7 linked regions of the Rattus norvegicus genome follow. The protein of the gene in region 2 interacts with the protein of the main gene of each other region in a biochemical or structural test. Links are inferred from orthologs where the notes say so. Each region holds a gene or a part of one and is shown on either strand. Other genes may lie near its edges. The genes, in order: Tada3, Rara, Trim24, Nr0b2, Psmc5, Ncoa6 and Nrip1.

Evidence for each region.
Region 1: the proteins of Rara (region 2) and Tada3 form a complex in vitro, tested with the Homo sapiens proteins (2 studies listed by BioGRID). The link is inferred for Rattus norvegicus from reciprocal best matches to the Homo sapiens genes RARA and TADA3.
Region 3: the proteins of Rara (region 2) and Trim24 form a complex in vitro, tested with the Homo sapiens proteins (3 studies listed by BioGRID). The link is inferred for Rattus norvegicus from reciprocal best matches to the Homo sapiens genes RARA and TRIM24.
Region 4: the proteins of Rara (region 2) and Nr0b2 form a complex in vitro, tested with the Homo sapiens proteins (2 studies listed by BioGRID). The link is inferred for Rattus norvegicus from reciprocal best matches to the Homo sapiens genes RARA and NR0B2.
Region 5: the proteins of Rara (region 2) and Psmc5 form a complex in vitro, tested with the Homo sapiens proteins (2 studies listed by BioGRID). The link is inferred for Rattus norvegicus from reciprocal best matches to the Homo sapiens genes RARA and PSMC5.
Region 6: the proteins of Rara (region 2) and Ncoa6 form a complex in vitro, tested with the Homo sapiens proteins (3 studies listed by BioGRID). The link is inferred for Rattus norvegicus from reciprocal best matches to the Homo sapiens genes RARA and NCOA6.
Region 7: the proteins of Rara (region 2) and Nrip1 form a complex in vitro, tested with the Homo sapiens proteins (4 studies listed by BioGRID). The link is inferred for Rattus norvegicus from reciprocal best matches to the Homo sapiens genes RARA and NRIP1.

What each region holds. Positions count from the first base shown.
Region 1 is NC_086022.1:148,074,521-148,078,477, forward strand, and holds the start of Tada3 (transcriptional adapter 3), read right to left. Parts: upstream 2,801-3,957; 5' UTR 2,513-2,800; intron 2,162-2,512; exon of another isoform or gene 2,114-2,161; coding exon of another isoform or gene 2,108-2,113; intron 1,093-2,107; coding exon of another isoform or gene 1,075-1,092; coding exon 868-1,074; intron 242-867; coding exon 1-241. Other genes in the region: Arpc4 (actin-related protein 2/3 complex subunit 4), read left to right, coding at 3,409-3,411. UniProt on the Homo sapiens protein: Functions as a component of the PCAF complex. The PCAF complex is capable of efficiently acetylating histones in a nucleosomal context. The PCAF complex could be considered as the human version of the yeast SAGA complex.
Region 2 is NC_086028.1:84,410,133-84,414,266, forward strand, and holds the start of Rara (retinoic acid receptor alpha), read left to right. Parts: upstream 1-1,334; 5' UTR 1,335-1,568; coding exon 1,569-1,737; intron 1,738-4,134. UniProt on the Homo sapiens protein: Receptor for retinoic acid. Retinoic acid receptors bind as heterodimers to their target response elements in response to their ligands, all-trans or 9-cis retinoic acid, and regulate gene expression in various biological processes.
Region 3 is NC_086022.1:67,638,835-67,642,334, reverse strand, and holds part of Trim24 (transcription intermediary factor 1-alpha), read right to left. Parts: intron 2,185-3,500; coding exon 2,011-2,184; intron 1-2,010. UniProt on the Homo sapiens protein: Transcriptional coactivator that interacts with numerous nuclear receptors and coactivators and modulates the transcription of target genes.
Region 4 is NC_086023.1:151,061,666-151,065,959, reverse strand, and holds the start of Nr0b2 (nuclear receptor subfamily 0 group B member 2), read right to left. Parts: upstream 2,801-4,294; 5' UTR 2,767-2,800; coding exon 2,226-2,766; intron 21-2,225; coding exon 1-20. UniProt on the Homo sapiens protein: Transcriptional regulator that acts as a negative regulator of receptor-dependent signaling pathways. Specifically inhibits transactivation of the nuclear receptor with which it interacts.
Region 5 is NC_086028.1:91,686,189-91,690,352, reverse strand, and holds the start of Psmc5 (26S proteasome regulatory subunit 8), read right to left. Parts: upstream 2,801-4,164; 5' UTR 2,786-2,800; coding exon 2,762-2,785; intron 2,161-2,761; coding exon 2,089-2,160; intron 337-2,088; exon of another isoform or gene 211-336; intron 1-210. Other genes in the region: pre-rRNA 2'-O-ribose RNA methyltransferase FTSJ3, read left to right, coding at 3,321-3,387, 3,556-3,661, 4,124-4,164.
Region 6 is NC_086021.1:164,385,276-164,388,775, forward strand, and holds part of Ncoa6 (nuclear receptor coactivator 6), read right to left. Parts: intron 2,709-3,500; coding exon 2,553-2,708; intron 1-2,552. UniProt on the Homo sapiens protein: Nuclear receptor coactivator that directly binds nuclear receptors and stimulates the transcriptional activities in a hormone-dependent fashion. Coactivates expression in an agonist- and AF2-dependent manner.
Region 7 is NC_086029.1:28,463,613-28,467,674, forward strand, and holds the start of Nrip1 (nuclear receptor-interacting protein 1), read right to left. Parts: upstream 2,801-4,062; 5' UTR 2,623-2,800; intron 1-2,622. UniProt on the Homo sapiens protein: Modulates transcriptional activation by steroid receptors such as NR3C1, NR3C2 and ESR1. Also modulates transcriptional repression by nuclear hormone receptors.

The sequences.
Region 1 (3,957 bases), on a different chromosome or scaffold from region 2:
CATCGTTCTTGGGGATCCGAGGCACATCGATTGGGTCATCAGTAAATTCATATTCTTGGATCTTGGGTTGAACATTTTTGGATTTGGGTCGTCCTGGGCCAGGGCCTGGCCCATGTCCTGTCTTCCCTTCCAGTTTCTGCTTCTTGGGCTTCCCATGTTTTGGAGGGGCACCAAGCTCATGGTCTCGAGCAAGCTTCAGAATTCGCCTGTCACCTTTCTTATCCTGCCAGTCAGTAAGGATCTGGAACACACAACAACAGTGCCTGAGAAGGAGAGAAGACACTGGGCACTTCTTTCCCTGCTGTGGGTAGCTGAGATCTAGAATTTGAGGTTAGTAGGCAAACTACTCATATTTCAAAATCCCCTGCTCTTCCCTGGGATTGTTCTTTCTCACATGAATTTAATTGTAGGTCTACATTCTGATTCACCTCCACCACCCAAGCTAGTCACAGATGGTTTGGCAGGAAGATTAACAAAATAAAAATAAAAATAAGGTTATTCCCCAGGGCATGGTGGTCCTGGGGAATATTCGATGGCTGGTATTTTGGTGATGGTGAACAAGCTAACCTTCATTTCAAACCCCAACCTACCCGGGAGCCCTGTCTATGCAACTAACTGTATCAAGGTGCATCTCAGAAACCTCCCAGGGAACGTCAAGGACCACAAGTGGGCAGTGTCCATCTTCTGAAGTACAGTTGGATGGCATCCTTGGCTGCTGGTATCTGCACTGAGAGCTAACTATTCTGTCATGATCCCCATGTGGGTCTCTCTTCCCATCCATCCCTCAGCTTCAGTAGATGTGAACCTGGTGATCCATCCTCAACTCGACATGCTGTGTCTCTAGTGATGCCCCTGTTGGAGAATCACCTGCGTTTCAGCTTCCAGTACACGCAGTCGCCTGCTTGCAGAGGACAGCAGGGTCTCAAGCTCCAGCTGCAGGGTGTCCAGCTCCTCGATGCCAATGCCATCGTCCTCGGAGCGGGCCAGCACTGCTGTGTACCGGGGACAGACCTTCATGTGGTCCACAGATTTGAAGTCATGAAACTGCAATGGGCAGTCCTTCAGTTCACTCATGGCCCAGGAGATGGGACCCTGGAAAATTAGAGGAGGAGGAGGCCATTGGGTAGGAGACAAAGTAGCATGGGGAGAGATTCAACAAAGACACCAGGCTTTAGCACCCTCATAGATAAGGACGGTGGCAAAGCTCCTGTTCAGAGCCTGACAGTACACCAAGCCAGACTTACTTCACTGGATTATGCCTGAATTATGCATATAACCTTAAGCAGGGGTCTTTTCCCATGCTATTTATTTATTTATTTATTTATTTATTTATTTATTTATTTATAGACAGAGTTTCTCTGTGTAACAACTCTGGCTGGCCTGGAACACACTCTGTAGACCAGGTTGGCCTTGAACTCAGAGATCCACCTGGCTTCTACCTCCAGAGTACTGGGATTAAAGGTGTGTGCCACCACCGCCTGGTCTCTTTCTTTCTTTTGACCAAGAAAGGAAAAAGACTCCAAAGAAACATGTACCCGGGCTGGAGAGATGGCTCAGCCGTTAAAGGCTAGGCTCACAACCAAAAATATAAGAAACATGTACCCATGCCTAGACTCCTAGCTACAATTTACTGTCTTTTCCTTTTTTGGTAGCAATGAAGCCAGGGTCTCACACATCTCCAGACCCCACCCCACTCCTATATTTTGGGAAGACAAAAATCTCACCATGTAGCCTTGAGTGGACTGGTACTCATTGGCTATATAGATCAGGATGGTCTCAAATTCATAAAGCTTCCCCCACCCCCCACCCAGAAAGCACCTGCCTCTTGTGCCAGAGTGCTGGGATAAAGGTATGCACCCAGGTTGGTCTCAAACTAGCTGTGTAGCCAAGGATTTATTTCCAACTCCCAAGAGATGGAATTCTAGGCATGTACCACACCTGATTTATACAGTGCTTGTTCATGCTAGGTACAAATTCTCCAAACTGAGTTACATCCAGCACCCCTTTCATGAATTCTTATTGAGACAGGCTCTCAATAAGTTGTACAGGCAGGTCTTGAACTTATGATCCACCTGCTTCAGCCTCCCAAGTCTCTAGGTGTACAAACCTGCATGATTAGGCCGGCCTCCTAGTTGCAATTTGAACCACTGTAGTCTCGAATCTGCAGCATTAAGGGAGAGGGGATACTAGTGTGCTCTGCCTTCCTATGTCCTCTGTTTCCTATACTGGGCCATTTCTATCTAACGGGGTTCTCCCGGCCTCTCCTTGCCTCACTCCATTCCACCTTTGCACCTTCTCTATGTCTCTAACTAGTTTGGAACACAGGCTGGTTAGGCAGACAGAACTAAGTTCCAGCCATTTTCTTATGTGCCTTTCTAAACATGTTATTTAACCTGAATCTCCGTTTTGGTTTTTGGGTTTGTTTTTTTTTCCAGGACAAAAGATGATGCCTCAGTCTATTTCCCCATTAAAAAGTAGGAATCTGTAAAATGGGGGCATCGAGAGTACCTACCTCCCTGGAATGTTCTGAGGATTAAGAAGTGATGCTCGTCAAGTGCCCAGCTCAGTGCCTGGCACAGAAGTGGGACTGCTTAATGGCTGGCTCCACCTGTGTGTCGCCCCAAGATCCCGCCTCCAGGGTCCTTGTCCTCTAGGGAGCCCCTAACACAACCCCCGCCTCTCCTACCTCCTCTCTGCGGCCTCCTACAGGCCCCGGGCCGCAGGAGGGGGCGGGGAGTCCAGGGCGATCGGAGCAACTGCTCCGGAACTGGCTATGGGCGGGCCCCCTGCAGTTGACGCGAGGGCGGGGACACGGCCAGCCCACAGTGACCTGTAGGGGTGGGGGCTGGGGGGGGTCTAAGGCCACCTACGAATCTCCGGGAAGTGGAATGCTAGGCCTGAGGAGACCGGGGCTAGGAAGCAGCCCGGGGCTGGGGCGGGGCTCTGAGCTCAAATCTCAAGGGACTGGCTACCCGGCCGAACCCTAGGGTTGCTAATGGGAGGAGCCCGGAGAGGATAGGGGAGCACCACCGGAAGAAACGTCGGGCTTCTCCGGTTCGGCCTGTCCTAATTTGGTGCCCAACCTGAGGTCGGGCCATACTATTGTCACACGGGGGGAGGCTACAACCAAAGCGCCAAGCGCTAAAGGCGCTGGAGGGATACGTGTGGGGACCCAAGGGGCCTCGACTGCTGTTATGTCACTGCAGATCTTCTACAAGTCCCAGCGGTCCCAGCGTGAAATCGCCTCAGAGATCTGAACATCCTTCGGCTCTTCTTCCCTGGTCCTGCCCGAGATGGTCCAGCCCGGAAGTGCTGTCGGGGACTGCGGCTGCGCCTCTCTGGAAAGGGCAGGCGTCCCGGGGCCGGGCACTTCCGCACTTCCGCTTTCCGGCCCAGACAGCGCCCGCGATGGTGAGAGACCAGGGGCTGGGGGCCTCCCTGTGTTTTGCCTGGAGAGGCTGTGGGTCTGGGGAAGATGCTGCTTGCTGCTAGGGCTTGCGACTGGAGGTTGCCCTGGGATGAGGGGGCACAGTGAGGATGGAGAGGCAAAGGGTGGGGCGAGGACCGAGGCGAGGAGGAAGGGGCGAGCTGGGAGGCTCTCCCAGGGCAGAGCAGGCCCAGAGGCTTCCAGGTTGGGAATCCCGGGCAAGAATGGCCTCTCTCCGAAGTTTGGAGGAGGCAGGAGACGGGACTGCTAGGCCTGTGGTGGTGGCTTGCAGTTGAGGTAGTAGGACCGCTGAGGAATGCAACGGGACCTCCTCTCCCTCCACGGTAGAGATTCGCTAAGTACAGCCCCCTGTCCCCGCCTGTCTCATGGTACCTCAAAGCAAGTGTCCACTTCACCTTATTACCTTCTCGGCCTTCCTGGAAGCCTTGCCTTTCAGCCCCCAGTGAAGGTTCTGTGTCGCCTCCATGCAGACTCCTTCCTGGGTGTTCAGTACCGTGTTGACCTTAACG
Region 2 (4,134 bases):
TAGAAGGTTAACATGTAGATCAGGCTTTTAAGAGGACATATAATAGGACACCCTGATCTTTTCTGGGTATCTCTTCTTTCCAGGGACCTACCTAACCCAGGCCTTTCTTCCACTGAAACAGTTGTCCTAGGGAGGAAGTGGTTCAGCTGGAAGTCTCCTTTTATCTGTCCTGGGCTGGCCCATCCTCGTTCCCGGGCTGGGAGACACCCTGGGCGGAGCTTTGCTTGCCGGAAGCACGCAGAGTGTGGGAGGAGAGCTCCCCGCTAGTGTTTGTGCTAACAGCTCAGTTCTGCCGCGTCGTTTTCGGGCGAGTGAGCCGGCAGCCGGAGTCTCACATGATGTCACAGACAGTGACACAAGCTAGAGGTCTCATTCCGACACAGCACCCAGGCTGCACAATGTCACACCCGGGACACCCAGCACGCTGCGTTTGTGGTTCTAACGCTGGGCCACCTGCCTCTGGGCCCTATGCTTACTGCCCGCCTGTTCGGACTTTGGGGCTGGACAGGACCGAGAAGGGGGCCAGTGGGCGAGCCCGGAGGGCGGGTTGGCGAGCTGGTGATGTCACGGGCAGCAGTGGGTGGGTCACCCGGAGGTGAGGCGCCGTCAGGCGAGTTCAGCAAGAGTTCAGTCGCATTGCATTAGGCAAATGAAGCTGGGGCTGGGGGTGGGGGGCGTGTTTACGGGGAGGACCCCAGGACCACCCCACCTCCCCGCCGCTGCTTCGCCCAGCAGGGGATTGACCAAAAGCACTAGGGAGGCCGGGTGCCAGAACTGGGATGGGGAGGATGCTCTCTCCTCGTCGGTCCTGCCTCCCGGTGCACCCTGCTATCCATACCCGACCTGGTTCTATGCACAGCGCTTTTCCCGCCTCTGCTCCCTCTCCGAGGCTGCCACAACTCGTGGTCCACGTGCAGCCTTTAGGCCCTTGCATCCCTGCATCTCTCCCTCTGCAGTGGGACCCGCAAGGAAAGGGTTAAGCCAGGGGCGGCGCCTGGCCGGGGCGGGGCGGAGGCTAGGGGCTGGAATCCCAGAGAGGGGGCGCGCGGGCTTGGGGGGTGGTGGCGCGCACACCGGAGACCAAGCAAGCGGCCCGCCGCCGGCCTGGCGGAGGCGGGGCCGTACGGGGGTTCCCCCACCCGCACCCGGAATCTAAGCCACGGAGAAGCCCGGGAGCCCCGGCCGGCAAAAGGAAGTGCTCGGTGACCCCCGTCTCCGCCCTGATCCCGCCCCGGGCCAGCGAACTTGGGGAGCCGCTGGACTCTGCCTGGGACACCGAAGCCTCGAGTTCTCGAGCCACCGAGCGTTCCCTGCGAGCGAGCACCGAGAGACCTCTTCCTCCAACCTGCACAACTTCCCGCTTTTCACCTGGGACCGGCGGAGTGACCTGCGGACTTAGGCGCGGGCAATTCTGGGCTGGGCGCCCCGCTGAGGGGCCGCCCATCGGGGCGAAGGGACTTGTCCCTTTGCCCCTCTAGCCGACTTGCACGGATGGCGCCGCCGGCTGAGTGACGAGAGCCCCGGTGCAGGACTTCCCCCTCCTGGATCTTCGGCCTTCGCGGGGCAAGATGTACGAAAGTGTAGAAGTCGGGGGGCTTGCCCCCGCCCCTAACCCCTTCCTAGTGGTGGACTTTTATAACCAGAACCGGGCCTGTTTGCTCCAGGAGAAGGGGCTCCCTGCCCCGGGTCCCTACTCCACCCCACTCCGGACTCCGCTTTGGAATGGCTCAAACCACTGTACGTACCGGCCCCCGCTTTGCTACCTTAGAAGCTGGGGTGGGGGTGGCGGTAGGAACCTCTCTACACCTCACTTTCTCTGTCTGTCTCGCTGTAACTCGGATGTCCTAGCTGGACAGTTGCCCTCCACCCAGTGACCCTGGCGCACTGCCATGTTAGGGCTCAGTAACTTTGAGCGTTCCTTCTCCAGGAGACGTGAAATCTCAGCCTCTGGCGCCCCATTTACATCTTCTTGGTTAGGATCCACAGCCTGCTGGAGGGTGGGGTAAAGATCCTGACTGTGGGCTTGTCTGTTCCGAAGGGGAGGGGCCACCTCCCCGAATCCCACCCCTGTCAAAATCTAGGATGAGCTTTCCCCTGTGTGACAGCTACTACCTCCAGCTCCCGCCGACTGTGGGGGTGACACGGACTGGTCTCTGTCTTTGGGTTGGTAATGGGGTGTGGCAGAACGGGACTTCACAGGACAGTTGCCTGCCCGTCCACCCCCTTATACTTTCAGAGGCACCTAGTCCGTCTTGGGGAAAGGTCTGGCCCCAGACACCTGCCTAACATCCTGGAGACTTTGATGCTGGGAACATGGGAGAAGCTGGTGTAAAAACTCAAAATTGCTGTTCTCTAGGGCGTATTTGTTTTTTAAGGCCTGGGGGTCCTCTGGCAATCAGGGTGTATCTCTGCTGCTCCTGGGTCTTTTTGTTACCCTGTCTAGGGAAATAAGTCCAGACCTTGTGCTGTTAAAGAGGGAGAACCGATGTGAACCCTGTTGTCCTGGCCGCCGAGCCCTCCAGCCTGGTTCTAGCCGGCTGTGCTGTGAGGGAGGCTTCTGTTAACACCCAGGGTGCACACCTGGGCATGTTTATGCCCAGCCGCGAGGCAGTGTGTATTAGTGTGATTTCCATGTCAGAGAGCTGGTTCTAGGGTATTATTGTTAGGTGGCTCAGATTTCGTCTCCCACTCTGTTATGGGAGTGATTTCTTCCCAGGAGGGCCCCCACCTTCCCATACCTGCTGCCACCCTTCTGCGTGCCAGGGAGCAACAGAAGACTGGGTCTCTTATGGTCCGGTACAGCAGTTCTCAACCTGAGTGTCGACCCCTGGTGTGTGTGTGGTGGGGGGTGTCAACCCTTTCCACAGGGGTCACACCAGATATTTTGCACAAAAGATGCTCACATTATGAATCATAACGATAGCAAAGTTACAATTACAAAGTATCTGTGAAACTAATTTTATGATGGGGGGGCCACCACGGCATGAGGAACCATATTTAAAGGGTCACAGTGTTAGGAGGGTTGAGAACCACTGGCGTAGCCTATTGAAGAAGGCTGGAGTAGAATCTGCCCGCACACAAACCTTCCTTCATCATTGAGAGACCTGGGGTGAATGACAGCTGACCACTGCCCTTCCAGAGACACCTCTATCAGGCCTTTCCTATTGTCCTGCGCCCTGACCTATTGTCCTGCCCCCTGACCTTTGCCTTCCAAGGCAGAATCAGCTGTGAGGTTTCAGACTAGGAGGGGTGGGTGATCATTGGCTTTGGGGGGAAAAAGCAGAGGTGAGAAGTGGCTCCTTGACCCTTCTTATTATCCTAGCGCTGTAGGAAGGAGCCACCCCTAGGGTGAGCCTCCAGGCTTCCTTCTCTGCACTGGGTGAAGCTAGGATTTAAGCTCCCTGAGGTCCAGCTCCTATCTCTGAGCCCAAGCCCTCTAGGACAGCTGAGCTCTTGGCACAGAACTTGAAGGGAGGAGGCTTGCAGAGAACTTGGGAGACAGCCCACGCAGAAGCCTCCCTGCTCCCTCCCTTCAACCGCTTGGACATGGGGAAGTAGAGACCTGTCTGGGATAACCTAGCTAGAAGTCTGTTCACCAGCCTTCACCCTTGTGGAGTTGCTTGCCCTGGGACACACTAAGGGCCTCAAGTCAGGGTGGCTACTGGACCTCTACTAGCCTTGTATTTCCTCCTTGGAGAAGAGTCTTTTGCTGTGTGGAGACTATCTGGTGCCTTGAGTCACCTCTAGTTGTCTTGAAGAATACAACTCCCTGGTCTCCACCAACGGAGGGAAGATAGCAGGTTGGTTGTAGGTGGAGACCTGCTGGGTATTGCAGAGCCCTGGAGACTTTGCTTTCCTCCCACAGCCCCCATTTCAGTGCACTAGAGGACAAGGGGTGCACAGGATGTGGCCCCCATCTGTCCCCCACCAGTCTCCACAGCTCACGCCTCTGCCTGCTCCCAGACATCCAAGAATGTGAAGCACGTGGATGCCTGTAGTGGGGTGGGGGAATGGGAGAGATGCTTATCACCCGCCGACCGCTAGGTTTGGACCTTGCGCTGAGCTTTGCTGGGCTATACTGCACCCAGAGTCACCCTCACCATCGCCCCACGAGGAGGAAGGGCAATAGGGAGG
Region 3 (3,500 bases), on a different chromosome or scaffold from region 2:
AACCTCATATCCTTGCAAAATATATATACACACATATGAATTGTACAAGAAATATAAGCATACTAAAAGCAACTTCTTTGAAGTAAAGCTAGAGAACTGAAAACATACATTTTCTTTTATTCCTACCTGAAATGCCTAAAAATAGTCACATATTATTAGGGCTGTAAGATGCTTATACTTCCCTTCCTTACTTTTCATATATGACCAAGTAATTAAGCCTTATTGAGGACAGCTTTCTCATTCACATTTGCTTCAAAGCAAACACAAAATACAGCACTGATGGATAGTTAGCTAAAAAGGCAGATGGTTAATATGTACTAAGGCAAGGGAAACAAACTGTCCCTATGAAATTATTTCAATATTTGGTGTACTTGAAAAACATGAAAACTCAGAATAAATCTAGGGGTGGGAGAACTGAAAGCTATCCCAAAGTCATTCAGCAGAGAGCTGCCCAGACTCATTTATATATGGATGACACTGTAGAGTGACATTCTGAAACACGGTGTTCTGAAAAAAATCCCACATATATATGTAACTGTAAAAAGTATACACACAGAAACATGAAGTTGGGTGTGAATGTCATCTTTAGTACCTTCACACCCAATCTTTTTTATCTTATCCCTACGTATTTTTCTTCCTCCCCTTCCGAGAGTAACGAATCACTGTTGATGAGTACCTTTCTGGGGTTGTTACCTATGCACAAGATAAAACACAGAGATGAGATCATATCTCACAAAAATTAGGTGACATGACAGTTTCTTACTAGCTAAAAAGTATTACATGAGCATGGGATAATTTGGTGAATTTATGCATTAAAACTAATTTCTGGGGCCAGTGGGATGTTCGGTACATAAAGCACTTGCTGCAAGCCTGCCAACCTGATCCCTGAACCCACACCATGGAAGCTCGGACTCCACCAGCTCTCCTCAAACCTCAGAGAGCAGCTGTGCCAAAGCACTGGCCCGTCCTACGTGTTTGACCGTGGCACTTTAAAAAGTACAGGACACCTATGAATCAACTCTACACAGAAAGTTCACAAGTCATGTTTCTCCTGGTTTATTGTTCACTTATTCATTCATGTTTACATTTTTGTCTAGAAAATATTAAAAGAAACTTCATAGTATTTACTGAAGCATGCGTACGCTATCCTGCTGTTTCCACAGAACTCTTGTTTGTCTCCCTAGCAGGAATGCTTCCATCTGCCCAAGGAATGCCACAGGCAAGATGTTTCCTATTCCCGTAGAGATGCGGCTGACCAAACAACCCTGATTTGGTCTTGAGACCTTCTGCCTTGTGAGCACATGCGATGACAGTGCTGAGGGCACGAGCGTGTTTTCCTGTCCTTGCTTCAAGTCTGTGGGCTGAGCTGCTCAAAGAAAAGTTCCAGAGCCTCGAGCCAGCAGAGAGGGGCGTGTGCAGCACAGCCTTGAGTCCCTGGTCCTATCTCTGGAGTTGAACCTTGGTTCCTTGGTACTGGTCACTGGCAGAAGGCAATGATCTAGCCATTAAAATCTAATAAATGGAGGGGTGATACTTGAAAGGTGCCAGGTGATTTTATATGCATTAGGACAACTGTCAACACAACTCTGCAAGGCACTCATATTTTTATAGCTGGAGTGAGATCTAAAAAAAATGTAGTTGGCAAGGCCATAAATTAGGAAAATAAATAGAATTTGATGCCAAGCATCAATTTAAACTTTTCTTTATAATGGTGAAGCAGAAACGAGTATGAATTTTAAAATATTACTAAATGAAACCCAGAGATGGTAAATCAATTCTTGATTACACACACACACACACACACACACACACACACACAGTAGGCAAGGCTTCCTTGATTACAAAGCACTGAGATGTTTTCTTACCTGTCGCCATAGATCTGCTTCTACATATAGTCTGTATTTTCTACTCAACAGAAAAGCAAGCACGTGCCCTTCATCACCTATTGTCTACGTAAGCTCCTATGACCTGGCAGTACAGAGATGCACTGGAGAGAAAGGTAACACACACCTGTTTTATGGCCTGTTGAGCCAAAAAAGCCATCTGCAGGGGGTTGGGCTTTATTGCCTGCCGTGGTATATTCTGGCTGGGTGGGTACCTCAGCTGCTGAGGATAAGGAGGAAGCACTGGTCCATTGGGCTTAGGGCTGTGGTTCTGAAAGTTTATTAAGCGTGGTGGTGGATGCTAGAAGAAAGAAACAAAAGCACTGCAGTAACTAACAATGGCCTCCAAACCGGATCTTTACTGCATAAAATCCCAGAGGGTAACATCTCACCACAGAATGCTCACTGTTGGCACTAGTAGTCACTTAGAAAAGGGCAAGGGGAAAGAGTGGTTGGGAAGGGAAGGAAAGGGAAGGAGGAGGAGGAGGTGTGAGCAGGAGGAAGCACGCCTGACACTGGTGGATGGGGAAGGCTGGGTGGAGAGGCAAATCTGCCACATCTCCTCTGTCAATGCTGGCTTCAAACTGAGTTTAGCAAACCCTAAGCTCACACGCCAGTGTTTTTGACCACTCAACTGTGTTCATGGTTGGGAACTTGTTGCTTCGTTGTTCAAGACACCATAACTGTGTTTAAGATCAGGACTTCCTGAAGAAGGAGGCACTTCTGTCCTCGTTCACAGAAACAACTGAATCTTTAGCGCTGTAAGGTTCATGTGGCCACACCAAGACAGCCATAGGCGTAGCTCTGCCCTCCCTCCCCCAATTCTTCCTACTTTTGGATTTTTTTTTTCTCATACTCTAAATTGCTTCCTTTCCCCTCAGTTAAGAATATATTTCAGAACCATTGAAAAACACATCTGTACAGTGTTTCTGGACCCAACAGAAATTCCAAGGTGAAGTGCAGAGACAGCATTACTGAGTAACCACATAGGGGAACTAGCCAGAAGCCCTAACACCTTTCTGATTTTCCTATAAAACTTGGCACATGAGGGCTTCACACCATGAAAACACAAACAGAAAATAGTGAGGAATTACAGAGAGGTTTTCTAAATTTATTCAAAGGAAAACACACAGTTGATTTTTAAGGGAGAACAGATATTTCCTGTCACCTTAGTCTCATCCTTTTGCTCAACATAACGATTCAACCAAAAACAAACAGGCAAAAAACCCAAAACACCAAAAAACCAAAACAAATTGACACTCGACAAACTGACACTTGACGCCAGGGCACCAGACCAAATGCTAACCCCGTCTACCTTTAAGCTTACAGGTGAGCACAACGTGAGCTATGTTCTCCCTGTTTTCTAAACTGCTACAGTTGGGTTGATCTAGGAGAATGTTCTGACAAACTCCACATTAAATACCAGGCGGCCACCTAGCACTTTAGAGTGCCGGTGACATGGTTGATCTTCAGAGGAAGAATTATGAAATATCATGCAAGAGACTTTTCACAAGCACAAACTTCCAATCTACCTGTCCACAAGGACACATGGGAAGTATGATTTGCATATCCCACATGACGAGAAACACAAAGACATACACTTTTAGAAGGCAGTGC
Region 4 (4,294 bases), on a different chromosome or scaffold from region 2:
GGCATGGAGGCCTGGCACATCTGTGGCAGAGAGGGTAAAGAGGGCCGGTGAGCATCTAAGTCTGTGGAGGTTTGCCCAGGGTGGGAGAATGTTAGCAGTTCCCTTCCCTCGTATGCTGGGGTGCAACTCAGGGCCTTGCGAATGCTAGTGTGCACTAGGCAGACATTCCACCATTGGGCTGCATGTTGATAGCCCCTTTAACATACTAGGGAAGTGGGCTGGAGAGATAGCTCAGTGGTTAAGAGCACCGACTGTTCTTCCAAAGGTCCTGAGTTCAAATCCCAGCAACCACATGGTGGCTCACGACCATCTGTAATGAGATCTGATGCCCTCTTCTGGTGTGTCTGAAGACAGTGACAATGTATATAAAAAACATACTAGGGAAGTACATCCTCAGCTCGTAAAGCCAGGAAGTTAGAGGACGGTTTTGTGGCGGGCGCTGGGAATAAAATCCAGGTCTGTGAGGCAATCTCTTCACTGATGAGTCCATGCCTTGGTCCCCTCTGCCACCTCGGAGGCCCCACCCACTGTCTCCTTCACTATTTACCACTTATCCATCCATCCACTATGGAGAGCAAGCAGATAATGTGGATGTAATGACGAAGACACACGGGCTGGAGAGATGGCTCAGTGGTTAACAGCACTGACTGCTCTTCCAGAGGTCCTGAGTTCAGTTCCTAGCATCCATGTTGTGCTTTACAAGTCCCTAGAACTCTAGTTTCAGAGGATCTGACGCCCTCTTCTGACATCTTTGTGACATCTCCTTGACAGGTGATGTGTACATATGCACACGCATGTAGGAGCTCATAAAGTAATGTATAAATAAATCTTTTTATTTTTACTTTTCATTTGATTTTTTTTAAAGACAGGGCATCTCTGTGTAGCCCTGGCTGTCCTGGAACTAGTTCTCTGACTGGGCTTGAACTCAGAGATCCCAGTGCCTTCCAATGCTGGAATTAAATGCTACCACCACCTGGCTAAATAAATCTTTTTTTTAAGATTTATTTATTTTATGTATACGATTACACTGTAGCTTTTCTCAGACACAAGAAGAGGGCATCAGATCCCATTACAGATGGTTGTGAGCCACCATGTGGTTGCTGGGATTTGAACTCAGGAGCTCTGGAAGAGCAGTCAGTGCTCTTAACTGCTGAGCCATCTCTCCAGTCCCTAAATAAATCTTAAAACCAAAAACCAAACCACCCCAAAACAAAAACAAAAAAAACCCAAAAACCTAACAAACAGAAAACAAAAACAAAAACAAACCCACCAAAAAACCAGGGTTTGAATCTCAGTGCAGCCACTTACTGGCTGAGTGACCTTGAGTAAGTAATTTAATCTTTCTGAGTGACCTTCCTTAAATGAGTACTTTAATCTTTGTGCTTCAACTTCTTCATCTGTCAAGTGGGGATAATGACAGTTCTGGTCACCCACACCTGTTATGAGGTTTAAGCAAACCAATATTTGTAAAGCCCTTAGACTGAGTCCTAACATATGGTAGATGTCATGGGACTAGTTGGGACGCCTACTCCTATGACGTGACATCGTACTTTAATTTCAAGGTCCGTCTCTTGTCTTCCTCAAAGCCACGAGGATTATTCTCCCAAGCTAGGCCATCTTGGTCTACGCAGTGAGTTCTAGACCAGCCAGAGTGACATGGTGAGACTGTGTCCCAGTTCTCCCTGTCACCCCATCACTCTTCTCCTGGCTTGACTTCACCCCACTCCCATACTCTCTCTCTCTTCTTCTCTGAGTGGCCTCCCTGAACCCACGGTGGACCTTCAGAACCTCACTATGCAGCCTGGCTTTGAAGATATATCTGCCAAGCAGCCATGTCCCCACCCCATCTACCCTCCCACACTCCCTAAGATGCAGGCCAAATTTCAGGAACCATGGCAAAAAGTAGTCTCTGCATTAGCTTGGTCTGCAGTCCCAGCTGTGTGACCTTCAGGTAGTGGCTTAACCTCTCTGTGCCTCTCCTATGAGGTATCTATTTTTTTTTTTTTTCTTTTCTATTTTTCGGAGCTGGGGACCGAACCCAGGGCCTTGCGCCTGATAGGCAAGCGCTCTACCACTGAGCTAAATCCCCAACCCGAGGTATCTATTTTTGAGGCTAAAAAGGACCCAAAGGTACAATGGATGCCAAGTCCCAAGAAAGCACTTTCCCTGGATGAGCCCTGTCCCCTCCCACCTTGGCCACCATCCAGGAGTGTCTGGAAGCTCACCTGGGTTGAAGAGGATAGTGCCTTTCAGGTATGCGTACTCCTTGGGACCCAGCTCAAGGCTCCAGAAAGACTCCAGGCAGTGCTGCAGCCACTGCACGGCAGCCAGTGAGGGTTGTGGTGGGTCTGGTGGCTGGGCACCCTGGGCACCACTGTTGGGTTCCTCTAGCAAGATCTTTTTAAGTATGCTGGGGACCGGAGCCTCGGCCACCTCAAAGGTCACAGTATCCTGGGCCAACCCAAGCAGGAAGAGAGGGCCCCAGCAGCCCTCTAGCAGCCGTCGCTGATCCTCATGGGGCAGGAGGCAGAAGGACGGCAGGTTCCTGAGGAAGGCTACAGTCTTGCCTAGGACATCCAAGGCCTCCCTGCAGGTGCGGTGTGGAGCACACAGGCGCACAGGCCGGTGTTGCTGGCACAGGCAGTGGCTGCGAGATGCGGGTGCCATGGGCCTGGTCCTGGGACCGGGGCTTAGAAGTGTGTAGAGAATGGTGGGGTGGCTTGCAGAGCCCTGGCATGGGCAGACCCCTGATTGGCTGGAGCTCATGGTCTGTGTCTTGTTCCTGTTTCTTCCTGGCTCTGTGGCCCTCTCTACGGAGTGCTATTTATATCCTTGATGGGCGGGAGGGGGACTGGCCAAACAACCTTGACTCCAGAAGTCATGTTCATTGAAAAAAAAAAAAAAAACCATACACACACACACAATGCATACACGCTGACCCTGGCAGGACTGGTGGAGAAGTGGTGGGGGAGGGGCACTGGAAGCTCCACGTGGCCTTGCTATCGCTTTAGTCAATGAAGTGGCCATTGCAGGGCACAGGGCCACCTGCCCACTGCCTGGATGCCCTTTATCGGATGACTCAAGTGTATAAACAGGGTTATTAACCCAGGCTGTACCAGGGCACCAAGGTCTCAGGCGTTCAACCAGCCAGGGGCTGGCCGTGACTGTTGTTTCTATTGGTGGCCGTTTTCATGTACACAAGACCAGGGTTCTCACAGAGCCAAGGAGCCAGCCAGGGAGCTGGCTAAAGCCTTGAATACAATACCCAGCCTGGAAGTGGCTTATCGCTGCTTTGTTTGCCTAACCTTGGGGCTCTGCTCCTGTTGTCGGTAAGGAACAGGCTGTAGGGAAGGGAGCCAGGTCCCTGGGGGACTTTGTTCACTGTACAGTCTAGGAGGCTGCCCTCCTGGGACTCCAGGACATGAACCCCTTTGGGAAGAAGACCTTTCAGAGCCCCTGCTCCCACCCTGCATTCCCATAGCTTCACAGAGGCTGGATCTGCCCTTGCAAAACCGAGGGCCTACATGGCTAACATTTAGTAAGGACCCCCCCAACCCCCCCACCCCCACACACTTGGTGTGGGTCTCGGTCCACTGTAACACTGAAGACTTCATTCTTACTCTGTGACACTCTGGAGGTGAAGTGACCTACTCAAAGTCACTCCGACGGGGACAGAGCACAGGTGCATCTGACCTCAAAGTCATCTTTGTTTGTTCCCCTGGATCAATTGTGCAGCCGAAGTGTGAATTTCCCAGAACTGGTGGCTAAGAGGCACCCCCCACCACATACTTGGTCTGCAGGTATGGCCTACCTGTGGTATGGGTAGAAACACATCTCTGCTAGCACATGACTCCTCTGTCTTGGACATTTGTCTCAAGCGGTCAGAGGTGAGGGACAAGGGACATGGGAGGGCCTCAGTTGTGTCGGGTTCCTGACCTTGGCTAGCCTTGCCTAGCAGGCTCCCTGTTGCCACATTCTTAGGCAACCTGGTGCTGTGGATAAAGAGAGATCTGGCATCCTCTGCCCTGGCATCTGGTTTAGGCTCCACGAGTCCCACTCACAGTGTGACTATCAGCTTGTCTCCAGTGTTCAGGGAGCCCCCCCCCCCATTTTATGTTTTTTCTAGACAGGGTTTCTCTGTGTAGCTCTGGCTGTCCTAAGAAATTGCTCTGTAGATCAGGTTGGTCTCAAATTTACAGAAATCCACCTGCCTCTGCCTCCCTAGTACTTAGGTTAAAGGCCCATGCCTCCCCCCAACCCCCAGCTGAGCCTTGGTATCTTAGGTGAGACCATA
Region 5 (4,164 bases), about 7.3 Mb from region 2:
ACACAAGCTTCCAAGGAGGAACCAACTGATAGTTCTACTCAGCTGTGATGCTTATGACCCACAATTACCATGGTGGCACCCAACAGTTCTCTAACTGGACTGCAGCCTGCTTAAAGGGAGGAAAACAAAGCCCGGTACTAGACACATAGTCAACTATGCCGGGCTCGTTACGTTATGGATTGTGAAGAGCCTACAATCACTTTACTAAACCTTTTTTTCCCCATTCACAATACAGACCAGGCACGGTGGCCTAGGCTGAGGAGTACACAGGGTAGGTTTACTCTGTTTCCATACAGTCAGTGTAGGAACACAGCCTGTGGTAAGCACAAGGAGGCCCACTTTACTAAGTCTGCATAATCTGTAACTGCAGTCTATTACAGATAAATGCGGTTCTAGTCCCTTCTCTTGAAACTTCTCTTGGCAACAAATGGAGACAATTACAGACAACCACAACTGACCAAAACGTAGAAGTCAAGAGACTGCATTGCTGGTCCCAACTGACATCTACAGTGCAACTCCTAAACCCAGGGCTCAGAGGTCATTTTGGAAGAGGGGGCAGAAAGATCCTAAGAGCCAGATAAACAAGGTTTGCTGGGAGACTGTTTCTTAGAAATGTCAGAGATTGGGCTGAAGAGATGGCTCAGCGGTTAAGAGCACCGACTGCTCTTCCAGAGGTCCCGAGTTCAATTCCCAGCACCCACATGGTGGCTCACAACCATCTGTAATGGGATCTGGTGCCCTCTGCTGGTGTGTCTGAAGACAGCTACAGTGTACTCACATATATAAAATAAGTAAATCTTAAAAAAAAAAAAAAGAGTCAGAAATGCTACACTCATGAAGTCTCATCGACATGGATTCTTAAATTAGACAAGTCCTGAACACTGGTGACACCAATGGACACGCTAACATGGAAGGGAGAAGTTCACTCATGGGGCCTCAACCCCAGACAAAGAATTATGGCTCCTGAGGAAAGCTGAGAGGAAGACAAGGAAGAAGCGCCCCGTTTGGTTATGCAGTACCCAGTGAGCACATACATGCAGGTAACATTATACAGACTGAACAGGTCATGTCTGTGTATTTAGGAACACCCATAGAAGGGGTGGTTATGCAGTACCCAGTGAGCACATACATGCAGGTAACATTATACAGACTGAACAGGTCGTGTCTGTGTATTTAGGAACACCCATAGAAGGGGTGGTGGTGATAAGGATTTCAAAACATAAAATTAGAAAAAACAGTTAGTTTTAAAAGGTAGGCACGACGACACAGGCTTGTAATTTCTACCCTAAGGAGGCTGAGAGCTGGAGAATCCCAGCCCATCTGGGCTACACAATGAGAATCTATTAAATAAACAAAAGTAAGACAAAGGCAAGACAATAAAAGACAGACAACAACATCCATCCTTCCGCCTTATTTCAGACCCGAGAAAGGTGAAGCACTAAAGACCAAAGCAGAAGCATTAAAGCATGGTTAAAAGTGGTTGAGAGTCCCAGCTGCTCCGGGAGAACCTGGGCTGGATTCCCAGCACCCACACGGCAGCTCACAACCTTCCGTGACTCCGTTTCCAGGGCTCCTACACCATCTTCTGGCACAGACATAGATGCAAGCAAAACACCCAAACACAACATAAAATGAAAAGCCTGAAAAAGCGAGCGAGCGAGCAAACAGAAATCCTAACTAAATACCATTCCCATCCAAGAGATTACCAATATACGTTACACTGCTTGTTACTTCCTAACCACAGAGGAGGGGCTGGAGAGGCGGCTCACCAGTTAACAGGGTTTACTGCTTTTGCAGAGGGCCTGGGTTTAGTTGTCACTCTAAGTGCCTGGGAAAGATAACTATCTGTAACTCAAGTTTCAGGGGATCCACTGCCCTCTTCTGCCCTGCGCAGGCACCTGCATACATATGATGCATATAAGCTTACGAAAGCACACATATACACATATGCATAATAAATTAACAACTGAAGAGCTACAAGAACGACACTGGAAAAGAACACTTTGCTGCACTCCCAGTGGAAAAAGGACGTTGAGAAATCTGCACCTACCAGCTAGCTCTCAAGCTCCCTCTGGTGTCTGGACTTACCTGGAGTTCTTCAATCTTGGACAGATAATATTGACGGAGTCCACTGCCTGCCTTCCCCTCTTCCAGTTCCATCTGAAGACAAGTGTAATTGTTAAACAGTTACGTAAACTACTAAGGGATAAAGCCAAAGTATTTTCAGGGCACTTTACCATATAGCTTAAGAAACAAGGCCAGGAAAGTATCATTCCCTTTTCCTCAGAAACTGGTTATCTCCATAGGTGAGGTCTGTGTGTTTGAACTGCAAAGGCTTAGTTATTGGTTCTAATCCTTCACTTTTGAATCCACTAAAAGGATGCAATTACCGCCTACCTTCGAAGACTTTTAGGAGGCTCAAGGGGCCATATACTTACAGAGCGCTTTGCTCTGTGGCAAGAGCTATACAAACCCAAGGTGTAACTACTACAGACAAAGGCAGAACAGAAGGACCAAGTCCAGGTCCCACCCAGGCCATTCCGGCTTGCCTAGCTCTTCATTCAGTTTTTACCCAGCCCTGTCCTGCTTACCGCGGGTGGCGCTGACACAGCAGATCCAGTTCCAGGCAGGGTCAAGTCTGACGTGGTCCACCCACCCCTGATCCACTCGACCCTTTTGCTAGTGGCCACCCCTCAGTTCAGATTTTGTGCACTCCACACTCGGCTTGGATGCCGCCCTGACGCCGCGGCAGAATCCTTACCTGCTCTGGCCCATCAAGCGCCATCTTCCCTCCTTCGGCAGGGACCGCCGGCATCCAAGTCACCCTATTGCGCAGGCGCGGAGCCGAAAGCGTGCGACCTGGGTCACGACCGAGAACAGTTCCGGGTCAATGGGCGGGGTGTGTGGTGAGACAATAACAGTGGCTTTATTACAGGCTCTACTGGCGGTTAGTAGGTTTGTAAAGAGATATATAACTTATGGCGGATGCTTCCTAGAGTCTAGGGAGTAGTTATTGTACTCTACTTCCTAGCCTCTACTTTTAACTTGCAAGACACGCTGACAAAATTTTTGGCCACACTCAAAATGGCGTAAATCAAGACGCTAGGAACACAGGGAGCGCGAGCGGAAGCGGAAGTACGATCACTACCCACATGTGCTACTTCCCTAAGTGTTGAAAACCTGCGGAGTTAAGGGCTATCTAACGTCTCGGTAAGTGATTGCTTCGCCACCCGAGGAACCGAAGCAAAAATCCAGCGCTCTGAAAGATATTCTCAACTTTTTCTTTCTCCCCAGAGTGAGTGATACTACCCCATCCCGCCATGGGCAAGAAAGGCAAAGTAGGCAAGAGCCGGCGGGACAAGTTCTATCACTTGGCCAAGGAGACCGGTGAGTGGGTTTGCGCTGCGTGAATAACATATCAGCCTTTACGCTTTTTCTAATATTGTGTTCCTTTTCCTTAGGGGGAGGGTGATGGGGTTGTGAGGCTGTGGAAGTCCTCTTAGAAAAGGCATCCGTAGACGTTATTGTTTTATACATCCACTCCCTACGGTCTAGGTTATCGTTCGCGTTCTGCCTTCAAACTGATCCAGCTCAATCGCCGCTTTCAGTTCCTTCAGAAAGCCCGGGCCTTGCTGGACCTGTGTGCTGCACCTGGAGGATGGTAATATTTGGTTGGCAGGGACTGCTTGTGATGATACGTCCCTTGCACTGGCTGGCTTTGAGTTGCTTTGGGGGAGGATGGAAATCCGATTATACAATTCAGATTAAATATTCCATAGCATGTGTCTCTCCTAAATTTTGGAAGTCAGTGTCATTCTTTTTTCCCCTCTCGTGGGACTGAACCTAAGGACTTACTCATGCTAGGCAGTCGCTCCACCACCGAGTTATATCTCCAATCTGCTTTCTTTTCATTGAGACAGGGACTCTCAGAAATTGCCCAGGCTGGCCTTGAACGTTTGGCCTTGATAGCTGGTAATGCAGCCCTGTGTTGCTACGCCCAGCAGCTTGCTTCTTGAATGTGTGCATAGACAATTTGGCCAAGACACTTAACAAGTGCCCCTTAAGAGGCTGGGAAATCACATTGCCAAGGGATGAAAGGTATTTAAACCTGTCTTTTCCACAGGCTGCAGGTGGCTGCCAAGTTTATGCCTGTATCCAGTCTTA
Region 6 (3,500 bases), on a different chromosome or scaffold from region 2:
TGAGCTGTCTCTCTAGTTATGAAAATTTAAATCTTACTTGGCCTAATGGAAAACAGTTGCTGAGCCAGGCAAGATAGCTCAGACCTTTAATCCCTGCACTCGGGAGGCAGAGCTGGTGGATCTCTGTGAGTTCAAGGCCATTCTGACCTATAGAGCAAATTCCAGGACAGCTGAGACTGTGGCACAGAGAAACCCTATCCCAAAAAACAGAACAAAACAAAACAAAAAAAAACAAAAAAACAAAAAAGAAAGGAATAAAAAAAAGAAGAAGAAGAAAAACAGCTGCCAAAATAAGTGCTTCTTGCCCTTAGTCCACAATTTTGACTGCTATAGTACCTTCCACAGAAGACACTTAACACCTTGGGGAGAGCTAAGATAGCTGTCCCATCACTTGGGAGTTGGAAGGATTATATGCCCCAACTCCGTTCATATCTTAGCATCTTGGTTTCCAGTTTGAAGGTAAAGCAGGAAGCTATAAAGGAGGTAGGTACCTTGCTCTGTCCTGTCATGGAGCTTCCTGTGTAAAGTTTACCCAGGGGATGGGCTGGCTGGTCATAGGGAACAACGTCCTACCAATAAAGGAGGATCATCAGAGCCTGTCAAATACTCTGACTCGCTTTTTAGGAACCAAGCGTGAAAGTCCAATAAAGTATGGGTTTTGGAGATTTTACCATTGGTAAAGAACTAGCAATTTGGGGTTGGGGATTTAGCTCAGTGGTAGAGCGCTTGCCTAGCAAGCACAAGGCCCTGGGTTCGGTCCCCAGCTCCGAAAAAAAGAAAAAAAAAAAGAAAAAAAAAAAAAAAGAACTAGCAATTTATTAAGCTTGTTAAGAAATTTTGAGCAGAAGGTTTTTTCCCCCTTTTTTGAGTAGAAGGTGTCTTTATTTACTTATTTAAACAACAGGACTTACTCTGTAGTCTAGGCTGGCTTTAACTTTGTAGCGGTCCTCCTACTTCAGCCTCTGTAGTGCTGGCATTATAAGTATAAGCTACTTTACCCTGCTTCCCAAGCGCAAGAGTTTTGCAATGGCATCAAGTAATATCACTCCTTGTTTAGAAGTTCTCTATTCCAGGAGGCTAGGGAGACAGCTCAGTTGGTAAAGTGATTGCTCAGGAACTGAATTTGACTCCTAGTACCCATTTTAAAGAGCCTGGCACGGTGCAGTGGAGCATACCTGTACCCCACATAAGGCAGAGGAAGGAGGACCACTGAAGTCTAATGACTAGCAACCTGGCCTAATTGGCAGGTCCTAGATATGAGTGAAAGACTGTCTCAAAGCACAAGGTAGGGCCAGCGAGATAGCTCAGAGAGTAAAGGCATTTGCTTCCAAGCCTAATGACTGGAATTGATCCCCAGGACCCACATGGTGGACGAAGGTAATTGGCTCCCATGGGTTATCTTCTGACCTCCCACCCCACCACACACAAATAAAATATATAAAAATTATTTTTAAAAAGAAATTCTTGTATTTGCCCATAGTTGATGTACTATAAATTTGATTCATATCAATCATAGAGTTGTTCCTCTTATTAAATAATATCATGGGCTCACTTGAGTTTATAACAGCAAGGGGCATATTTTATTTATAATTATATACCAGGTGCTAAAGCAAAGTAATGCTATTATATGTCCTGGCTTTCCTGTGACAAGCTTACTAAAGAGACTATGTGGCTCAGGCAATTCAGACACACAGCAGAACAAACCCGGACATGACTCCTTTCCTATTAGGGCTTACAGTACATGGGGAAATGAACAGAACCAAATGATGGACCTCAGTAAAGGGTGAGATAAATGATCTGAGAGAAAGGGGTTTTTGTTAGAGCACAGCAACAGACTCAGCCAGAGACTTAAGGCTGAAAAGATCAACCTGGAGACTGGAAAGATAAGAGCAGTGTACCATCCCCAGGCAGTGACTGCAAATGCTCTACAAAAGGGAGGACTGTGTGATCAAAGGACCGAGGGAAAATGGAAGAGATGGAGAACAGCGAGCTGGGAGGGAAATGACTAGCATAAGGCTATATGACGAAGGGAGACTTCAGACTACGCAAGCCCTGAGAGCACAGTAGAGAATTTGGCCTATATTCTGTAAACAAGCAGTAAGCAACAGAAAGGCTCTAATCTGGATGTTATAAATATTAGAATAAGCATATTCTTACATTCAGAGGGTCAGTCCAGTGATAAACAGTTACAAAAGAACTGTTTAGGACTCCCTAATCCACTAAATGAACAAAGGAAAAATTAAAATTATTCACTAAAGGAAAGCAATTAAAATTAAACATTCTTCAAAGACAAATCAGTTCAGTGCAGGGTACAAGTAAGATCAAAGTCTAAGACTGAAGGCAGAAGAGCCAAAGGCCTGAGCGTTCAGGCTCCGGCAACACCCTCAACCCGTTTTCATTCTAAGGTACTGAAACATGAAACACAGGATGTACAGGTGCTTGAGAGTCTCAAACGTGAGCGCAGAGAGACAGACAGGGCAGCATCGGGAACTCTGCAGGGTTCTACTGTTATTGTACTTTGATTCAGATGGGCACATGGCAAAGCAAAGGACCTTCAATCTGAACGGAGAGAATCCCCAGATCCCGAAGCTGCTGGTTGTTGCTCTGAGCCAGGATCCGTAACCGCTCTGCTGCTTCCCGGGGGATGTTGAATGTGACTCGCACGCTGTTCCAGGGCTCCACTTTCTGTACCTTCAGCTTGCTGGATTCTTGGTCATGAAGGAAAGAGAATAACATGATCAGTTGTGAAAGCATTTGAGAATGAGCAACCAAAGATAAAACAAAAATCCATATCTTAAATAAGAGCAGAGTCCACTGAAGTAAGCAAACACAGGAAGGAAACATACATTCTGACAAGTCAGCTTCCTCTAGGACAGAAAAACATTTGGCATCTGCAATTCTAAAACCTATACAAACCTCTAGACATATTCTTAAGAATGCACAAAAGCTAACTTACTCTGGGCACAGTGTGTGTCCACATGCAATATCCTAATACCATGTACAAAAATTAATTAAAAATGGAACAAACACTTAAACATAGACCTAAAACACTTAGAAGAAAATATCTGACAAGCCTTGGACTTGTCAGTGATTTCTTGGATGTGGCAACAAAGGGACAGGCACATAAGAAAAAAAGTAGAGACATTAAACTTTTTTTTCCTGAGATGGTGTTTCTCTGTGTAACTCTGGCTTTCCTGGAATTCACTCTATAGATGAGGCTGGCCTCGAACTCACAGAGATCAACCTGATTCAGCCTCCTAAGTGCTGGGATTAAAGGTGTGCATCACTGCTGCCTGGCCTGAAACACTGGACTTCTTAATGATTTTGTGCATTTAAAAAAAAAAAAAACAAAAAGCAAAAACAAAAACCAGTATCAAATGGCTATATACTATATCACTAGGGTGATTATTATAAAAATAGAATATAGCAAATGTTGACAATGATATGAGGAAATTGGGGACCCTGTGCACTAATGATGAGAATATACAAATGGTACAACT
Region 7 (4,062 bases), on a different chromosome or scaffold from region 2:
AGGCCATCTTTCAGGCTAGACGGTTAGAGGAGGAGCGTTACTTCCTCCTCGGACAATGTGATAAGCAGAAGGGTAGAGGCTGCCGCCCTCAGGCCTCCTGTTTAACAGACTGCTTTGCCACTCACAAACCTCCAGTAGGACAGGTTATCACTGTTTCACTGACTGTATTCCCAAACACCTTATCCCAGCTTCCAAGACGGTCTACCGTCTCTCTAACCTTCTCAGTGTTTAAAATGTTGGTAATGGCAACATCCCTCTCTCTATACTTTTGTCATCGCTTTTGTCGCCCTCCCCCCCCCAAAAAAAAACCTCAAAAGGCACCGAGAACACTTATTTTGTCACATTTCTTGAATCTCTCGTATCACAGGAAATCTTTTTGCACTCAGGGCCACCTTGGAGCACAAGCTAAAAGAAGCTGTCTTTAAATTTTTTTTCTTTTGAATTAGTATCTTTCGGAGACTGGCCCACTTGAGTTGATATGTCATAATTTTCGGTTCTGAAAGTGTCGTGGATAATTTAAATTGGCACTTGCTATGCATTACTTAAATAAGTGTTCTCCTGGATGGCCTCTGAAAAGCCTGAATTCCTTAATCTTGTTTTGACTATACAGTAACCACGAGGGACACGTCAATGTAAGCAAACTCCAAGAGCAATAAACTAACAAACAGACTCTAGGTGGTGGTATAGGTTATTTTTTTAATCACAACGTTTTGCTCTTAAAACTGGAGGAGTCAGAGGAGCCCTGGCCTCATCCACAAACATTTCTCCATTGCTAACCCACAATTATTTTCAGGTATCTCAATTACAAAAATCCAAGTTCTGCAAAGTTTGGAAACTCAGATTTCTAAGTCTTCTCGTAGGCATGAAAGCTGGTTTTCAACTACCTGTATATAAGCAGCAACCGAAGCCCTCCTTAGAGTTTTGAAGTATACTTTTTAAGGATATTTTCTTCTCGCTCCTTGTACTTTAAGTGTGGAGTCTTCCCAGTACAGTATAGAACAGGCTGGGGTGAGGCTCCAGTTTGCAGGTATTGCCTGCGGCATGACTGACTCTCCTTTGTCTCTACTAAGTCCTACACAGAAAGTTCCTGTTGGATCAATTAAACCCTATGGACAAACTGCTGGGCCAAACCAGGGCAACTCACTTGGAAGGGGAAGATTTCAACATTTTCCCAGGCTGCAGCCACTCTTAGGGGCCATGCATGTGAAGCACCCACCGTTTGCTTAAAAAGTCGACTCCGTCTCTTAGACAAAGGTGGCAACCTGATGATTAAACACTGGATAATTGCATCTGGAAGATGCCGCCCACTTGCTAAACCCATGATTCACTAATAAGCGGGTTCAATGTAATTCATAACTCTAAAGAATGAATTACCGAAGTCCCTGCTTTACAAAACCCAAGAGATAGACTACACATCGTTTAAGCATACACACAGACAGACAGACACACAGACACTCCAATCTTGTTTTACTTTTAGACTGTCTCTCTTTCTCTAAAAACACTGTTTTCGCTCAGTGTCACAATCAGTTACAAGAGCAGACAAACTCCAGCCTGGTGCCATCAAAAAAAAAAGAGTTAAAAGTTCTTGCACCTAACAATGTCCGGACTTCCCTCTAACTAAAATGATCCATTAATTTAAAAAAGTAAAGTATTTTAACGTAAAATTACCTAACGTTTCATACTTCGTTTGCGACCGCCAGAATCCAATTAAATTTCTGACATGATGGAAGGTAGAAACTCGTGGAATGCCTCAGAGATCAACATGTGTCAGACTCACTGCCTGTCCGCCTTTTAAACACAGTGGATTCCTTTGTTCCTTCCGTCTGAATATCAACTCCTGATTAAAATTTGGAAACTACTTTGGGAAGGATGGGAGGGTCTAGGGGAATGTTTCCGCGGAAGAGGGTTTCTTCTAGCAACAATAGTAGTAAGGAGGACAGTGGCACCAGAGAGAAGAGCAGTCTCTCAGGACTTCACCAGGCTCACCCGAGTGAACCCCTCTCGGATGCTGGGGGAACTGGGCTGAGGCCTCGGGTGCAAGGGGCCTCGCCCTCCTCGGCAGGCGGGGAGCTCGTGCCCAGCAGGCCGGGCCTGGGGCTCAGCGCTGTCCCTTCTCCGAGTCACTTTTCCCGGCCGGGAATCGGCGAGCACCGCGCAAGGGAGAAACCGGCGATAGGCGGGGAGCTGCGCGGGCGCCACCGCGAGCACCGCTGGGCGGCAGGACCGAGCGGGGCTGCAGCCAGCGCCCGGGGCTCGGGGCCAACGGGGGCAGCCGGGCGGGCGGGCGAGCTCGACCCGGGCCCCGCGATCCGGCCACCCGCGTGGGTCCCGGCGCATTACACCCAGGGCGGCTGCGCCCCTCGCGCCAAGGCTGGCACGGACGAGCCCGCGGCTGGGAACTCCACAACTTGGCGGCTGCGCCGGCCGGGCCCGCGAGTTCCCGGGGAGAGCCGGAGAGGGGCGCGGCGGCGCGCTGTCCCCGGGATCCGTGTCCCTGGAGCCCCCCGCGGGCCTCCCCCGGCCTCCGCCGCCTCCACGGGCCGCGCACCCAGGCCGTGCCCGGGCGGCTCGGCGTCCGCTCAGCGAGCTCCGCACGGAGCCCGGGCCGCGATCGCCACTCACCGAGGCCGCCGCGGCTCCGGGCCGCCGATCCGCGTCGCTCCCTCCTTCCCAGGTTAGCCGTGCCCTGCGGCCGCGCGAGGCCACGGGCGCTGCGCACCGGCGGGCTGGGGCCGGCTCGTCCTCCGCCTGCGCCGCGGTCGCCGTCGCCTCCCGAGTTCGGGGCTCTGCTGCAATGTCTGCGAGGCTGACTTTGAGCGCCTCGCTCGCCGCCCGCCCGCCGCAGCCGCGCTCCTCCCTCCGCCGCCGACTTCGCGGCGGCCGGGTCCCTCCCCTCGCTGCTCCACGCCATTCAGCTCTTCAGCCAAGTTTCTTAACCCTTTTCTGCCCCTCCCTCCCATTGTCACCCGGGCGGAGCGCGCACCCGGCGGCTTGCCGGAGCCCGGGAGCCCACCCGGCGTCTGCAGGCCTTCTCGCCGGTGCTCCGGGTGGGGGTCCGGGTCTGAGCGGCCTTGAAGGCAGAGGGAGGACGCGGTTGAACCGGAGAAGGGGGGTGCTTTGCTCCCCGAGCCGGCGCCCTGGCTTCCCAGCCGCGTCCAGCCAGCCGCCTGGACAGATTCCCCGCTAGGGGCCAGGCGATAGCCCATGTCACCCTTGCGGGGGCAAACGCTGGGGGCACCAAAGGGGAGTCGGGGCGCCTTAACCCTACCCCAGGTTCCCCACCTAAGGGCTGGCACCTTAAATGTCTCCCTTTCTCCCGTTTCAACCCACAAATACGCGTTCTCTTGGAGCCCTTTACCCACCCTCAATTTTCCACCTCCTTGAAATCTGTGTCCCGCTTAAATTCCGGAAGCCACGGCGCTATAACTCTAGGTCATTTTGACCCCATCCTCAGCACCTAGTAGGACCCAGTAATAAATATGGCATGATTGCAAGCGGAAAACTGGGAAGGAGACCTGAGGAGTGCACAGCTCAGCTCCCTAGACGGACGCAGGACCCAGGAACCTGGTTTATCTTCTGCTGCTTTGTCACTGCGAAGTCTCCAGTAGGGTCTGCCCGCCAATCTGCACCACCCCCAGGAAGGATCTGACCCAACAGGACTAGAAGATGGGCTGGCACTTCTTTAAGCAGCTCTGCTGGGTTCAGAGTCTCAATAAATAACAATTACATCACGGAGCCAGGGTGGCAGTGCAGCGAAACCTGGGTTTCCTGCAGCCTGGTCTTGCTGAACCCGCCTCTGAATTTGAGGGGGGCTAACAGATTGGTGAGGCTAGAAAGTGGAGGGAGGAGAGAAAAAGACGAAACCGTGATCTCTTCCTCTCCTTGTGTTTTCTGCTTTAAAATCCTATTCTCTCTACTCCCTTCATATGTTACTTGTGAAGCCTCCTTTTAACGCTCCCCCTACCCCAGATGTCACGTTTGTTTTTGACTCTAGCATCTTGCCATGAAAAGAATCATTTGCAGAAGTTGTTTTCGCTTGACATAAAAAAAAACAAAAACAAA